4 linked regions of the Schizosaccharomyces pombe genome follow. The protein of the gene in region 4 binds, or shares a complex with, the protein of the main gene of each other region. Each region holds a gene or a part of one and is shown on either strand. Other genes may lie near its edges.

The links.
Region 1: SPOM_SPBC16A3.14 (region 4) and mrps16 share a complex: the UniProt entries of both Schizosaccharomyces pombe proteins name them as parts of the mitochondrial small ribosomal subunit.
Region 2: SPOM_SPBC16A3.14 (region 4) and bot1 share a complex: the UniProt entries of both Schizosaccharomyces pombe proteins name them as parts of the mitochondrial small ribosomal subunit.
Region 3: SPOM_SPBC16A3.14 (region 4) and mrps12 share a complex: the UniProt entries of both Schizosaccharomyces pombe proteins name them as parts of the mitochondrial small ribosomal subunit.

Annotation. Positions count from the first base shown.
Region 1 is NC_003423.3:554,288-558,453, forward strand, and holds mrps16 (mitochondrial ribosomal protein subunit S16), read left to right. Parts: upstream 1-1,537; 5' UTR 1,538-1,605; coding exon 1,606-1,682; exon of another isoform or gene 1,683-2,111; coding exon 2,112-2,292; intron 2,293-2,558; coding exon 2,559-2,591; 3' UTR 2,592-2,961; downstream 2,962-4,166. Other genes in the region: osh42 (oxysterol binding protein), read right to left, coding at 4,048-4,166. UniProt on the Schizosaccharomyces pombe protein: Component of the mitochondrial ribosome (mitoribosome), a dedicated translation machinery responsible for the synthesis of mitochondrial genome-encoded proteins, including at least some of the essential transmembrane subunits of the mitochondrial respiratory chain.
Region 2 is NC_003423.3:2,230,547-2,235,297, forward strand, and holds bot1 (mitochondrial ribosomal protein subunit S45), read right to left. Parts: upstream 2,577-4,751; 5' UTR 2,566-2,576; coding exon 1,618-2,565; 3' UTR 1,237-1,617; coding exon of another isoform or gene 1,060-1,236; 3' UTR 997-1,059; downstream 1-996. Other genes in the region: SPOM_SPBC14C8.15 (triglyceride lipase-cholesterol esterase), read left to right, coding at 1-996, 1,060-1,236; SAGA complex subunit Spt8, read right to left, coding at 3,537-4,751. UniProt on the Schizosaccharomyces pombe protein: Component of the mitochondrial ribosome (mitoribosome), a dedicated translation machinery responsible for the synthesis of mitochondrial genome-encoded proteins, including at least some of the essential transmembrane subunits of the mitochondrial respiratory chain.
Region 3 is NC_003424.3:2,667,409-2,670,973, reverse strand, and holds mrps12 (mitochondrial 37S ribosomal protein uS12m), read left to right. Parts: upstream 1-2,041; 5' UTR 2,042-2,151; coding exon 2,152-2,640; 3' UTR 2,641-2,893; downstream 2,894-3,565. Other genes in the region: Brix domain-containing protein Rpf1, read left to right, coding at 1-445; mrpl28 (mitochondrial 54S ribosomal protein mL40), read right to left, coding at 805-1,161. UniProt on the Schizosaccharomyces pombe protein: Component of the mitochondrial ribosome (mitoribosome), a dedicated translation machinery responsible for the synthesis of mitochondrial genome-encoded proteins, including at least some of the essential transmembrane subunits of the mitochondrial respiratory chain.
Region 4 is NC_003423.3:4,269,786-4,273,539, reverse strand, and holds SPOM_SPBC16A3.14 (mitochondrial ribosomal protein subunit S26), read left to right. Parts: upstream 1-1,507; 5' UTR 1,508-1,602; coding exon 1,603-2,409; 3' UTR 2,410-2,549; downstream 2,550-3,754. Other genes in the region: meu7 (alpha-amylase 4), read left to right, coding at 1-1,199; nda2 (tubulin alpha 1), read right to left, coding at 3,092-3,754. UniProt on the Schizosaccharomyces pombe protein: Component of the mitochondrial ribosome (mitoribosome), a dedicated translation machinery responsible for the synthesis of mitochondrial genome-encoded proteins, including at least some of the essential transmembrane subunits of the mitochondrial respiratory chain.

The sequences.
Region 1 (4,166 bases), 3.7 Mb from region 4:
ACTTCTTGTTGATGAAACGCTAACCGCAAAAAAAAATTTAACAATACACCGTTTAATAAACGAGAAATTAGAAGAAAAGCGGGATTATTTCAAAAAAGGAGAGGAAGCGAAAACTAAAGGAAAGATAGAATGGGTGGAAATTGTAGTAGGAAAGCAAATAAAATTGGAACCCAAGAAAACGCCTATAGTAGTTGTCTTTGAGCGAAGGAAAGTATAAAACAACAAAAAATTAGGTTTTTCCTCTTTCAAGTTGAATTATTATGAAACCGGGTTGAACAGGAATCTTCAAGGTAAGCGACCCCAAGAACGCACTCGTTCACGAACTAACCAAGTAAACGAGACAAGATGAACAAGCTTGACAGGATAAACAATGAAAGAAGAAAAACTTATAAAAACTAAATATATAAAGGGGAATATAGTAAAAATTGGCCCCCAAGCTGCGTTATAAGGAATTGACAGCAATTATATGATGACGGAGAAGAAAGGAGTAGAAACTGACGCAAGGCAGGATGTAAACGTCAAATCTTCAGGTGTTCCGATATGTAATGAGTCTTAAAACTGCTACTAGCCTAAAACCTAGCACCGTTCATCCACAAAGCGATGTCCAAAGAAACGTTTCAATCCGATGTTCCTATTTTGCTTGAATCCGTCGACACAACACACTGACTTGACAGTAACCGGGAGTACGATGGCAAAAATCAATGTCAGTGGATCCAGCAATTCGTAACAACACCAAAAGAATGGGCAATTCAGAACAAGATCAAAATGCTAACTAAAAGAAGCCTAGGTGTTGGGAAATCTCAAAATACCAATTAACCGAACTCCCCAAACAACGATTCGTACGAAAGCAACAAAAACCCTCTAAGATTCAATCAATAGCTTTCTTGATCACTAGAAATTTTCAAGAACGGATGGAGTTAAATATTCAACAGGGATGCGCAATCTACGCGAGTCTTAAGTTATGTTTTGCTGTCGCTAAGTAGAATTTATGGGAGGGAGGAAAAAGCTAAAAGTAGACGAAGCCGCTTAAGCTAAGGAATGTCTATAGCGATTAACATTACGTTATAAGGATTGCGTGGTGAAAAGAAGGTTGGCAAACTACGCATTACATGAGTAACGTTCGTTTATGGTATCTCGTATACGCATTCTACAATCGCTTACAGTATTCCTGTTTAGCAAACTCGATACAAGCAAAGCATACCTTGAACAACGTGGAGAATGCTCGCTTTGTAGTATTCGTGTTACCGTAATTCGTGCTGTATCTCACTCCGGGGGTAGTGAATATGATCAATTCACACTGCTTATAAAGAGAAATAGAGTCAGCAGGAAGTAGAAAGATAAATGGAAGGAAAAGAACGTAATTTCTATCCCAGAAAACGTTTGAAATGATCTTTTGAAATTATGTTTTGTTTGTAAGTATGAACGAAAAGCAAGGCACAACGCTATTTTATAAACAACGGAGTGCACAATACGATACGTCCATCTGCTTTCCATCCTTGATACCTGCATTGTCTTCGTGTTTACTCAAGTTGCTCTTAACCATACTCCTACCACCAAGTGGGAAAGACGGGATTTGTAGGACTCGTTGAAAACCGGCTCTTCTCAATGGTAGTAAAAATTCGTTTGGCGCGTCATGGCGTCAGAAATAGACCTTTTTACCATATCGTAGTTGCGAATGCATGGTAAGTAGGATGAAAACATACCTAGACGGTTGTTTCGTGTTTTACAACACTTGTAGCGGTTCACGTAAAGGGGAAAGTTTTTGTACAGGATTTAGTAAGGGAGATGGCTTGATGTGGGTTATGAAAGAATGGAAGATAAAATGCTAAAAGACTGCTTTTTTTTGACGGTTCCTTTGGCTCTAAATTGCGATCTTTTTTAGAAGCTTTAGTTTTCAGGTATTCCTGGATGCTCTCATCTATTTAATCTAGTCTTTCTACATAGTATTCAAAATGCCAAGGACACCAACCACAATTTTTCTTATTAATTGACTATTTATTGTGGTTTGGCCCCCTTGGCCTCTATTAACTGTTTACATATCACCTGTACATCCTTTTTTTTCTCCTTCATCCATTCCTGTCTTTTGGTTCGACTTTGTTAACTCAATATAGGAAAGCACCTCAAGCCAAACCTATCGAAACCATCGGCACTTTTGATCCCATCCCTAAGAAGATTGATTCTCAGGACTCCATTCCTCGTATAAAAGATATCCAGCTCAACGTTGAACGTTTTAAATATTGGATAAGTGTAGGAGCACAACCATCCGACACCGTCCGCTCTTTAGCTGAAAAGGTATGCCCAAGCTCTCTTTATCTATTTTTATGACTAGTCCAAATTCGTTAAACTTTCTTTCAACTCTCTTTTTTGACTAAAATTTTCGACCCGCTTGCGATATACCGCTCGGGTGATTTTTCTCATGTTCCCTAACTGCCCGGCTTTCCGAAATGGAGTGTAGGATCTCATCCCTGTTTTCGTTACGATTTGGCTACTAATTTACTTGTTTTACTTCTTTCTATCAATCTATCAATTCTTACTAACGTTACTTTTTTCACTTTTAGTTCCAGTTGCTTCCTAAAAAACCCGTTTCTTGAAACTCACTATAATCGTTATTGCTCAAGTCATGACATTTCTTTTTTACGACCACTTCACAATGTCTAGATATCTTTAACACATTTTTTATTTTTTTTTACACTTTATCTCTGTGATCACGCTAATTACCTCTCTCAACTAAATTTCATAATTTTTGACCGATTTTACCCTTCCGTACTGTTTTTTTAAAACCACGTTTTTTGGCTGAGTGCGATATTTGTTTTCTTTACGATTCTTTTTATTACAATATCACCTTTTTTTTTTTAATTCCTTCTCCACATTATCGTTAGCGTAGTGATATCTTAATTTCTAAATTTTTTAAAGTGTCTATCTATCTGAGGTTATGCGCTAGTTGAAAGCGCTCATAATTTGATGCTATCCATTTGTAATTACTTGTTGCTTTGTACTTAAAATTGTTTGGTAATGAGAAATCTTGGTACCAATATTTTGCCTTTGTAATTTTTAGCTTTTGCGTTTATGGTTAAAATGGATCTTCACTTTATACTGAAACTTCATTTCGTTTACTGATGTTATACCCTTATTTTTTTAGAAACAAATTAACAGCTTCATTTCAAATATTTAGGTTAATATCGGTGTATCTATTATTGCTTAGATTTTTGGACTTTCCGTTCGGAAACGGCAATGCGCTTTGTTGCTTTCCTGATTTCCTCATTCGTTTAATTGGAACTGAACACGTTCATTAATAGCCAATTGCAATAGTTGTACAATTCTAACAAATCATTCCTGTACTTCCGTTGAATTTATAAAAGACTTGTCTCAAAGGATTTAAAATCGTTCAACAATGAATATTAACAACTTAATCGTTTGTAACAAAATATTATAAATGGTGAACTAGCCTTATAAGCTAATTTATTAACTGTACCAGAAGCAATTTACTTTGGTATTATTACCATATTTCATCAACCAGTCCAACTCTACACCACTACATTTATTCATGCACCGAACAGTGTAATTTTCAATTAATGCATTAAATACAAGCTAAACATCACAAACCAAATAGTATGTAAAAATAAACTTGAAAAAGAAAGCGAGAAATCACTTAATGAAAAAAAAAAATCTACTACCAAATCTCGAAATGAGTATAGATCAAATTGCAATGCTTTTTCCCTGACATGCATATGTGTAACCGACATATAAGTAATAAACTAGTATACCGCATAGATAATCTAAATGAAAAGTGCTGATTTCGTACTAAAAGCCAACCGTTAAAAGAACCTTTAGTAAAATCGTTGATCGTAAAACTTCAGTTGAACGTTTAAAGAGCGAAAGATACCTATATACTTTCAAGCATTATTTTAAGCCCTGATTGCACAACCAAGAGAGCTTTTGGGCCAATCCTCCCAAAAGTAGAAAAAAGGACACTGTTAAGGACGGAAAACTATAGCAGCCCGAAAAGCACACATAAATTTAAGAAACAAAAATATAAGTAACACAAATTTATTCCATCCGTTTGACAGGTTGTTCTCCTGCTGGCAATGAAGGATGAGTGTCACCAATGTAAATCCAGAAGCCTGGTTCAATAACTTCTAAAACAGCTTGGGCTAAAGCATTCCTGG
Region 2 (4,751 bases), 2.0 Mb from region 4:
GATGCAAGAGATACCATCGATTTATGTGCACTTCATGGGTATGATCTGGAAGAACACTTTGTTCGTACAACTGATGGCTACTTGCTTGGCTTGCATCGGGTGTATAAAAAGAAAAAAGGAAAAATTGAAGAGTTAAATTATCTCCCACCTGTATTATTTATTCATGGGCTAATGATGAACTCTGAAAGTTGGGTCTGCAACTTGAAAAAGGAAGATGCCATTCCATTTGCTCTTGTGGAACAAGGATACGATGTTTGGCTTGGAAACTTACGAGGAAACAAATATAGTATAAAGAATATCAAATTCAGCTCTCAAAATCCAAAGTTTTGGGATTTCAGTCTTGATAGTATCGCTATTTTTGACATACCTTCCATTGTTAAATATATACTGTCCGTTAACAGTTTTGATTCTATAAGCCTTGTTGGATTTTCTCAGGGCGCTATATTAGCATTTGCAGCGCTGTCTATTGATACTGAACTTCGCAATTCCGTACGAGCATTTATTGCTCTAGCTCCTGCAATTGCTCCTAAAAAGTATAGTGGTAGAACCGTTAAATCTATTATTCACGCTAATAGCCAACTTCTTTACCTAATGTTCGGTCGAAATTCCATGCTTGGTTCTGCTGTGTTTTGGCAAGCAGTTTTATATCCGCCAGTTTTTGCAAAAATTGTTGATCTGTTTCTTCGCTTTTTTCTGAGCTGGACCGGAAAAAATATTTCCGAAACTCAGAAAATCGTTGCATACTCCCATCTATATTCCTTTACTTCTGTCAAATGCTTTGTACATTGGGCTCAAATTACGCGTCGCAAAGTATTACAAATGTACGATGACAGTCCAGGATTTAAGCCAAGTTACTATACAAATCTTAACCGAATTGCTCGCTATCCGATTGAAAATATACGTCTACCTATTACTTTAGTTTATGGCAGTAACGATAACATGGTGGACATTGAAACACTCAAGACCCAACTTCCACCATTATCTCAATGCATTCAGGTATGTTCTGAAACAGTTGTAGCTTCATTTACTTAAGTGGAAACTAACAAGTTAAAATTAAAGATTCCTAACTATGAGCATCTCGACATCATCATGGGAGATACGAAAAAGGACATAGTAATTCAGCAAGTCGTAGAACAACTAAATCATGTCATTGCTGGAGATTACTTTGAAAGCATAAAAGAAGAATTTGGACTTGACACAGAATTGGTTGACGGCGTTATGAACCATACAATATAGTGTTCATCGCTTCTGAAACTGGCACAATGTATATTTAATATGTTAGATAAGTTTCTGTTCTAAATCAAACTGAAGCACAGTGTTGTATAGACTGTTTCATCGTATGTGCAACCCTTCTTATCAGTATTTGTATTAAACGGCTAAAAAAAGTTTCTTTGTTTAATTTGAAAAAGTCAATATGGCAACGAAAGCAAAAAAAACTATGCAATTTTTATATGTACAAATAACTTTTAGATAATGCAACAACTAGAAGAATTTGCTGAGTGAATTTGTAACAATTCAAGATTTTATTTCGCAAAAGTTTGAAATGGATTGTACTGCCGCTAATGCATGCTAAGGGGGTAAATTTTCTTTCAAAAACGGGAAATAAATGCTTGATTTTCAGGTAGTAGATTTTTTTCTCTTAACATAAATATCCCCGCCGGTATCCCTTCTATACACATTACCAGTAGAAAGATCAATGAGCCTAAAAACACGCTTCCCAACTTCGCTGGGGCTTGAAGAAATTAGCTCTTCATCTTCATTCAAATCTTTGTGCTCATCAGATGTTTTGTGGAAGTGAGTAGCGTTTTGTCTCATGTTTAATTCCTCAATCGAAGGCCACTTCAGGATTTTAGCAGCCTCTTGAGGTGTAAACGTTTCTCCCTCAGGCAAACTCTTCCAAAGGGATACTGGATTGGAACGCAAAGGAATATCGTTTCCGTCATTAAACTGCATCATCTCAGGTTTAGTACATGCGTTCAGCATTTTCTCCATAACTTCATTATAACTATGAAGAATCGGCTTCTTTTTTTCTTCGAATTCATCATTTATTCTTCTCAACTTTATAAGAGCTTCAATCCTTTGTGGAGATGTGTTGAATTTTCGAGCAAGCACTTCTATACTTGCACCCTGCAAGTATTCATCGGTAATTTTCATACGCAAAGAATGAGATATAGGCCTAGGAGGCTTAAAAAAAGGGTTTAAAGGGAAGGGCTGATTTGTATTAGGTCCCAAGCCTACATTACCAGATGATGAGGACTTTGCTTTCTGTACTTCGGGAGACATTAACCATTGAGCCATCATTAAACGTTGTTTATGACGAAGTGTATTCTTAGAAACTGAAGAAGCAACATCATTTGGGGGTGTTACAGATCTTGAGTTGCAAGCAACGTACTTTGAATCAATGTTCTTTTGAGTGTGTTTATTTAAATCAATATTTCCCCCATTGCTTAAAAATGCTCCAGTACTAAAGAATTGTTTCTTGACTGCTGAGGTATAAGTTTTATTTTGAGATAAATTAAAAGCCGTTTTAAGCCCTAACTGTGAGAATTCCACTGAATTCCTCATTTAGGTGCGTTGGAAAGGTTTCTTGTGTCACTCCCCAAAAGTTAGTAACACGCCCTAATTCTATTCATCAAGATAGATATAGAAAATAAACTTCAAAAAACCAATAATTAATGAGACGATTTAGGAAAACTCAAATTTAACCTCCGGCGGTCAAGCAATCTAGCTCCATTATAAGATCCGATTAACATACAGACGCTTGATTTATTTATGAGACAATAACTCTCAGTATGCAATAAAGTAAGATTTTGTTTATTCTATAGAATGTTTGAGAGTCAGTTCCAATATTAGGATACGAACAGTTATACACATCAATACTTAAAAAATAAATACACAATTTAAGTCATAATTTCTACAGAATCAAACGAAAAAAATTCATTAAATACGGTCATTGCTTCTTTAGACAAGAGTTTCGCATGTCCTTGATATTTTTGTTTGGCAATTGACACATCAACAAATAATAAAGCGGATGGATGGCATTAAATTGATTAGGAAATTCCAAATTGAAAATTAAAGTAGAGGAAAGTTTTAGAATACATGTTATACAAACAAAACGATTTGTGTATCATATTTGTCAGAAAGTTCATAACCAACAATCTCAGCTTAATACCTAAGTTTATTATATTCGGCAAAAAAGGGGAAATAGGTTTAAGGAAACATTTATAAACTTACCTCAAATTATTTAGAGAGTAACCAAAAACCCAAAAAGCAATCAACTAATGAAGAGTGCATGGGCTTAACAATTATTCTAAAAACTTTAACTGAGATGTTTATTTCAAATGTTGAAAGGGAGACAATTCAAAAAGATTTTTAAAGTTAAACGACAATAGGCATATAATTGACCCTACTAAGGCAAAATCCAAAGTGCCTTTCAAAGACCATTTTGTATTTGACCGACTAAATCGTAACCCACTTCCTTTCAGTCTATTATCATAATGTACATTATTGCGAATATGTGTTTTAGAGAAAGCATTTTATGAAGTCATTATTTGGTATCCGAGGAACACTTCAGTAGTAGTTCCTTGCCATCCTCGATTTCCACTAGCTGAAAACATGAATTGACAAGAAGTGTCTACATAAAGCGAACTGACAAGACCTCCATGATGACCTGGAATAATTAAGAACCCTATGCCGGCCTTGCTTTGAAGATCATAAAGGCGGATATTATCAAAGGAGGAAATTACAAGGTGACGGCCATTCGGCATCGAATAGACATTTGAAACAGGACCCGAATCGAGAGGCATTTTTAAAGAGCGAACAGGCTCCTTGCCAGAGTGAATGTTATATTCTTCGACGATTCCATTTCGGCGGCCAATATATATATTATTTCCATCCGGACTCCAACATGCAGACATAGCCCATGGTGGTACACCCTTGGGGACGGGGTATTTGAGAACAGAATCGACCATGCGATGGTCCCATACATTCATAACTCCATCTATAGACGTCGTTAAGAAAATATTGGACTCTTCGGATGAAGATTCGGAAGGAGCTTTTATGTTGTCATTGTTAGTAGTAGATTCGGTTTGAGAGGGTTTTTCTGTCTCGTTCTCCTCATTTGCTTGAACAGATTTAGTTTCTTCTTCAATGGCTTTTTCCACCTCTTCATCAAACAGTGCATCGTAAGAAGAGGAAGACGCAGGTGTACCGAACAAACTACGCATGTCGTCCGATTCAGAACCCCAAGGATTTACAGCGCCTGATGGACGATAAACTATATTCGAAATTTGACCACTCTCACAATTGTATGTAGATATTGCATCACCAGTGTTAAGGTCCCAGTAATAAACCATTTTGTCCCAGCTTCCACTCAATACTTTTTTCTCGGAACCATGTAATGCTAAACACGAAACAGGAGCCGTATGCTTTTTTAAAGAAGTAACGGGATAACCCTCTTGATGTCTTGTAGAGTACAGTATAATATCTCCATTATTGACGCCCGAAAGAACCCAAAGACCTCTGGAATGAGCTGCAAGGCTATATACCGAAGATGGTTTATTTCCATCGTAAGCATTCTCCCAGTAGTTGAGTAATATTCCAGCCTTCGTTACTGTATCCACAAAGGGATGTCTCTGTGCAACAGTCAGGGAGAGATCACCATTAATGCTAGGAAAAAAATCATACTTCCTTATATATCCGTCTTCCCCACCAGTGAAAAGCCATTTTAAATCCGATGTGAAAGCAAATGC
Region 3 (3,565 bases), on a different chromosome or scaffold from region 4:
TGCATTAACCCTTGTACACTTACCGAATGGCCCTTCGTTCTATTTTACCTTATCGAATCTCCAAACAGCAAAGGAAATTTCAAATCATGGCCGCTCCACTGGTCATATTCCAGAACTGATAATCAACAATTTCTCAACGAGACTTGGTATGACTGTTGCTCGAGCCTTTCAATCATTATTTATTCAAACGCCTCAAATTCAAGGGCGACAAGTTGTTACCATCCATTGTCAAAGAGATTTTCTTTTTTTTCGAAGACACCGTTATGCATTTCGTGAAAAATCGAATATGCCAGATGGTATTGGAACTGGGCTACAAGAATTAGGTCCTCGATTTACCATGCGTCTTCGTATGGTTCAAAAAGGAGTATGGGATAGGAAAGAAGGGGAGGTTTTCTTCGAGAGCAATGCCGGTGAAGAATCAGATAGACGTAAATTCTGGCTTTAAAGACATTTTGTCTCATCTGCGACACGTTGTAAAAAGAAAACAGTGTTTGGGTCATATTTTATTGTTTTCGAGGTAGGGTTTGGGTTTGGTAACAATTCTAAATTTTTGGTTAAAAAAGAAAGCATGGCCTTTCATTTTGTATCATTCGTTTACGGTGAAATTGGGAATGAATAATATGATACATGTAGACTAGAAACTAGGAGACATAATTCTTTAATTCAATTATTGGTTTATTTAAAAATCCTAATTAGATTATACTTGCTCGTAATTAGTGATACATTTTTTTATATACTTGAACTTGTCTATAACACTTTCGAGCACTACCGAAGATATTAATTATACTCATAAAAGGCGCTCGCCTATTTAGAAAGCCGTGGTGGTGTGTCCGTAGGAGTCCTCGTTTCTACGGGGAACCTCCTGTTAATTGAATCGCTCATTGCGGCTTTATATAATGTTTCACTCGTATGCTTCAGTTCCTCGCAAGCAATTTTCATTGCAGAGAATTGGTTTTTTAGAAGATTCTCTCTTTGTTTTTCTTGTCGATATTCGTGTATACGCCAAGCGCGATTAATAACTTCGTGTTTTTCCCACATGTCTGGATTCATTTTCAAAGACCTGACTTTTTTATTTCCGTAAAGAGCTTTTCTAACCAAATCGATTGACTCACTATGATTAGAAGGACCAGATTGGTGCTTTCCCTTTGAGGCCTTAGCCATTAATTGTAACGTAGAACGCATCTGCCAAAAAACTTTTCAACACAAACTAAAGTACTCCTTGAATTTTTTCACGTTGATAGAAAAAAATTTAATTTTCAAAAGTATTAACATAAAACCTTCCTTTAAAAGCTAAAAAACCTGAGTAGAGAAAAATGCGGTAGTAGTAAACGTGTTCAGTGGTATGAAGCTAATTAAGAGAGTAAGTCGTGATACACTAGGAAAAGCCACCAGTACGATATTTCAAAAAAAGAAGTGTTTCATCAAATCCCCTTCAATTTCACACACTGATAAAAAAAATATAGATTATAATTCGGAGTTCATTTAATTGTTTCTGAATTTTCAGTAGCTAAGCCAAACAAAGCATATGCATTTATGGAGATATGTAACCAAACGAAGACATTTAACAAGTAGAAAATATTAAGTTTTAAGTCAAAGCTTTATATGGAGTAGGCCTGATGCTCAATTTTTCTGCTAAGTTTCATGTAAGTAGTCAAACACATTGATAAATCCATATCAGTGTTTAAAGTTTTAATGAATGGATAAGTTATTGTAATAAATACTATCATCAACTGAAAATGGCATGGCAAAACGAAGCTTAAACCTCAATACAATCTACTTCCAGTACGTTTTTCAGTAGAAGTCATGAATTAAGTTGATTTTTTCAGCTTAACACTGTACTGTAAATTTGTCGATTAGCATACCTACATTCTGCATCTGTTTTAGACTAGTCCATTAAAGTTCAATTCCTAGAGGAAAAAATATTTAATACGCTAGTTATACCCAAAAATGTTTGTCAAAATATAAAAGAATAAATTTTTGTATCCCATCGAATAATATGAATGCTGCGAGATATTCTATTCCAAGGCAATATACATACACTAACACCAAACCAGCGACGTTCGGGTACAAACTTCGGAATTCCTTGCTCAAGCATCTATTATAGTGATTTTTGAGATTTTATACAGCTCAAATATTAAATTTCCCCAAATAATGATCCGTTTTGCTCAATATGCTCGATATCCGGTAATTTCAAGGTTGATGAAGCCAACAGTTATTTCACCATTTCAGGCTCAAGCGTTTTCTAGCTCTTCAGTTATGTTAAAGACATTAAATCAAACGATAAGAAATAAAGAGAAACGTCCTGAAAAAACAAATAAGCAATCTGTTGCTTTAGAGGGAAGTCCGTTTCGACGGGGTGTGTGCACGAGGGTCTTTACAGTAAAACCCAAAAAACCTAATTCGGCAGTAAGAAAGGTTGCCCGTGTACGCCTTTCAACCGGCCGTTCTGTTACTGCTTACATTCCAGGTATCGGTCATAATGCACAGGAGCATGCTGTGGTATTGTTAAGAGGCGGCAGAGCACAGGATTGTCCAGGAGTCCAATATCATGTTGTTCGGGGTGTCTATGACATTGCTGGTGTAGCGGGACGTGTCACATCCCGAAGCAAGTATGGAGTAAAAAAACCGAAAGCAGCCTAAACTTCATGACCTCAAAGACTTTCTTTTTCGAAAACCATGATATTCAGAAACGTTATCTTTATAATTATTCCACCTCCTCTTTTGATATCGATTCACAAGGACCTTATTAAAATGACTGAAACAAAAATTTAAATGAGAAAAAAGTTGAGTCAACCCATTTGTCATTTCTCGCAACCTTGCTTCTTGTTGCAACTATACATATTCAATAATCATTTACTCTTGCATGTTTAATAAGCAATTTTTTAGTTGAACTACATCCCCTTTAAACATACAATCATCAAAAAAAGGTAAAAAAGATTGTGTAATTAGGCAATTTCCAGTTATCTAAAAAATTAGCAAATAGATAATCCTTTTGGTTAAAATTTAACCAAATCTATCTAAACAATGATTTATTAAAATGAGGAGGATTTTCTTTTGAGAAATCCTTTTGGAAAGTTTTCTACTTTTTTGATATAAGCTCTTTAAATAAATTTTAAACTTGAGACGCTTTCAATTTTTAATTTGTTCAATTTGGTTTTACTACCGTGCTATTTAATTTTTAACTCTTGAATAAAGTATAAAAAACACCTTTTGGGTGTTGGAAAACGCTTTCCGGTTCTTATTTATATAGTATGCAGTATTGCTAGCACAACTTCACCGTTCAACGTTGCAGAAAAATTTACTAAACGATGAGAAAAATATTTTTTAACAAATCTTGGTTAATTGGATTTCTTGAAAGAAAAAGAAGATTTTATCTTGAACCCGAATAATTCATAAATTTGAGATAATAGGGTATGATGAATCTTATTTTTTACAAACTCAGATTAAAAAAAATCAAATTTCTTTTTGTTAGAATCAATTTACACACACATCTTTGAGATGTCCTGTAATGTTTGTAAATTCCGTACTCTTTTTTGGAATGTTAACAAAATCGTAACAAATTTAA
Region 4 (3,754 bases):
TTCGTCCAGTTCCTCACAATGTAACCAAGCCTGACCATAAACCCTGGAAGCACGAGGAACACTGCCATCACGGTAAGTTCCCTCGTCCAGTTCCCCACAATGGAACCAAGCCCGATCACAAGCCTTGGAAGCACGAGGAACACTGCTCTTGCCATGAAGACCATTCAGTTCATGAGCGTCCTAGTGCTAAAGGGGCTCTCGAGGACTATATTCAAACATTTGTAGAAACTTTCCAAATTGATGGTATTCGTTTCGATGCTATGGGTGACAAATATAGAAAGTACTGGCCAGATTTTTGCAAAGCTGCTGGAGTGTTTTGCATGGGTGACTTGAAATCTTCCGACTCTTTAAAAGTTTGTGATTGGCAAAACGACTTGGAAGGGTTGAGTAACTTCCCTGTTAGAGAATCTGCTGTAAAAGCATTTTTGATGAATAATCCAGAGGGAATTGTTGATCTTGCCGACAAAATGACTGACATGCGCGGTTTGTGTGTCAATCCCCTATTGTTAGGAAACTTCGTTGAGAACAAAGACCTTCCTAGAATGGCTTCAATTTCTAGTGATCCAGCCACCTTAAAGAATGCAATTGCTTTTGTTCTTATGGGAGATGGTATTCCTATGATGTACAACGGCCAAGAACTTGCCATGCGCGGTGAAGAGGTTCCTTATAATCGACCTGCAATTTGGGAGAAAGGTTTCCCAAAAAGAAATCCTTACTATAAGTTCACGTCTACAATCAATCGTTTCCGCAAAGCTATGATTGAAAGCAAAGACGGAGAAGCTTTCTTAAATATGCAGTCGGATATTAGCATCGTTGATAAAAGAATATTGCTTTTACGACGTGGCAAAGTAATAACCGTACTCAACAACTTAGGTTCATATTACATTCATTTCCATTATACTGTTTCGGCAGAAGAGCACAAGTGGATGGACGTATTATCTTGCAAGTCCGTTCCAGTACAAGATAATCGACAGGTATTTATGGTACGCAACGGTGAACCCATGATCTTGTACCCAGAGGAATCGGCTTATGAGATGGGATTGTGCCCATCTCCAATTCAGCTTACTGAAGATTATAACAGTGAAGGTTCTCTCTCCATTAACGTTGAAGAAGCCCAAACATCAAAGGCACCAGAGCAAAATCGAGGATTTACCAATGTCCTCGCCGCTCTTTTATTATCTTTGTTAATGATTTTGTAGGTATACGTTCCTTGAAATCTAATAATATACAGATTTTTTATTTTACATAAACCTTTTTCATATAAAGTATGATGACTTAGTTTACAGACCCATAGGGCTCTGTACTGAAGTTCATGAACGATAAGTCACCTCAATATAAATAATAGACGGGTAAATCCATTTTAATTTTTGGCTTTAAATTACAAAGTACTCAAGTAAAGCTTTAGCCAAAAAAATTTAAACTCCCATAATGATATCCGACGCAAACCGTCCAAACGTATTCATAATTGCGGTGGTGTGGCTAACTTGTATTTGACACAAGGCGAGCTGCGATACCCAAACACGTCCAGTTCCCTTAAATACTTCGTTGTTGGTTTATATAGGTATTTCAGCAAGTTATACCTAATATTCAGATAATTTGCTTATGCTCAACACAGGTCTACGAAAAGGGCTTGCGCTTTCACCGATAACTCACCTTCTGAAACGATGTAGTTCAGTTACAGACAATGTGCATCGAGTAAACTATTGCTACAATTACCACACAGTTCCTAATCTTTCACAAAGAAATTTGCTACCACTTTTCAGTCCTGAAGCTCTTGACATTGCCTGGGACCAGCATCAACGTCAAGTAGTAAAAGAATTAAATGATCGAGTGAAGGGAACAGAACTTGAGGATTCATCTGTGTTTAACATTATCTTTCAAACAGCCGCTTTGCCTGAGCATGCAGCCACATTCCAGTTTGCAAGTCAAGCTTACAACAATCATTTCTTTTTTCAAAGCTTGATCGGAAAAAGAGCTGCAGATGCCAAAAAAAACTCAAAATATGAAGCTAATGCCGCTATCAATAAAGCAGTCAATGAAAACTTTGGTTCTAAAGAAAATTTACTTTCTAAAATTCATGAGCTTGCCTCAAATAGTTTTGGAGCATGTTGGCTTTGGATTGTAATTGATGATTATAATAGATTAAACTTACTGAGAACTTTTCAAGCAGGTTCTCCGTATCTTTGGACTAGATGGCAATCAAATGATCCCCATCTTATTTCTAGTGTGCCAGATTATAGTGCCAGACCTCGAAAATATGCGCATGTTCCCATTTTAAACCTTTGTTTATGGAATCATGCATATTATAAAGATTACGGTCTTTTAAATCGCTCAAGATACATCGACACATGGTTTGATTGCATAGATTGGTCTGTCATTGAGGAAAGATTGACTAATTCTTTGGTATGAAAGAAAGGTGCAATCAATTTAGATAATTATATCTCATCACAATCTTGTTATGATTTTAAAAAAACGCCTTTTTCTACTTTCACCTTATAAATTTCATTCTAATTTTAATAAAAATTGTGTTTTCTCTACTCGTCCTTGAAACTTCTACAGTAGACTGTTTTGGCTCATGCTCGTATTCTAAATGATTTTAGGCTAATTCCGAGCAATCGAGTCATATAAGTTAAGTAATTTATTAACCAATTAACCGATTTATTGCTTAGAGGTTGAGATTAAAAACATTTTTTTTGTAAAGCTAGAAAAGCGCCAATACACAATGTAATTTACAGTTTATAGTGTCTCTTTTTCATGCAAAATTAAAAAAAAAAGATACCACAGAAAGGAGAAATTGAAATTTTACTGGTGGTTTATTTGCAAAGATAGAGTGGATTAGATTGATATCTAAATGAGAATTGACTAGTAAAGAAAAAGAATGTTCAAGTTAAAAAATCAGTGAGATAAGTGGACGAGCAATTTATCTCCTTGCCGCTGGGTGAACATTTTAACTCTCAAAGAAAGACAGACACCCTTTAGTTATTTGACCACAGGGCTGAATAAACAAAGATTAAAGAGACAAGGGTAGATGCAAGATATCTTCAAGTTATAAAACGAATGAAATAACGTATAAAAGCGATTATTGGATAAATTAATACTCTTCGTCAGCTTCGTACATTTCGTTATCCATAGAATCTTGACCAACCTCTTCGTAATCCCTTTCTAAGGCAGCCAAATCTTCTCTGGCTTCTGAAAATTCACCTTCTTCCATACCTTCACCGACATACCAATGAACAAAAGCACGCTTGCTGTACATAAGGTCAAACTTGTGGTCCAGACGAGACCAAGCTTCAGCAATCGAGGTGGTATTTGAAAGCATACAAACAGCACGATTTACCTTAGCGATTCCACTACCAGGAACGTGTTGGGGTGGCTCATAGCAAATACCGATTTTGAAACCAGTAGGGCACCAATCAACAAATTGGATGGTGCGACGAGATTTAATGCTAGTAACGGCAGCCTGGACATCACGTGGGATAACATCACCACGATACAAAAGACAAGTAGCCATATAGCGGCCAGTTCGTGGATCACATTTTACCATTTGATTATAAGGCTCAAAGCACTGATTCGTAATCTCTTGTACGCTGTTGGATTCATGGAATGCTTTAGCTGCACTGACAATAGGAGAATAAGTGACTAAAGGAAAGTGAATACGAGGGTATGGCACAAGATTAGTTTGAAACTCATTTAAGTCAACATTTAAGCTACCAGCAAATCGAAGAGAAGCGGTGATAGAAGAGACAACTTGAGC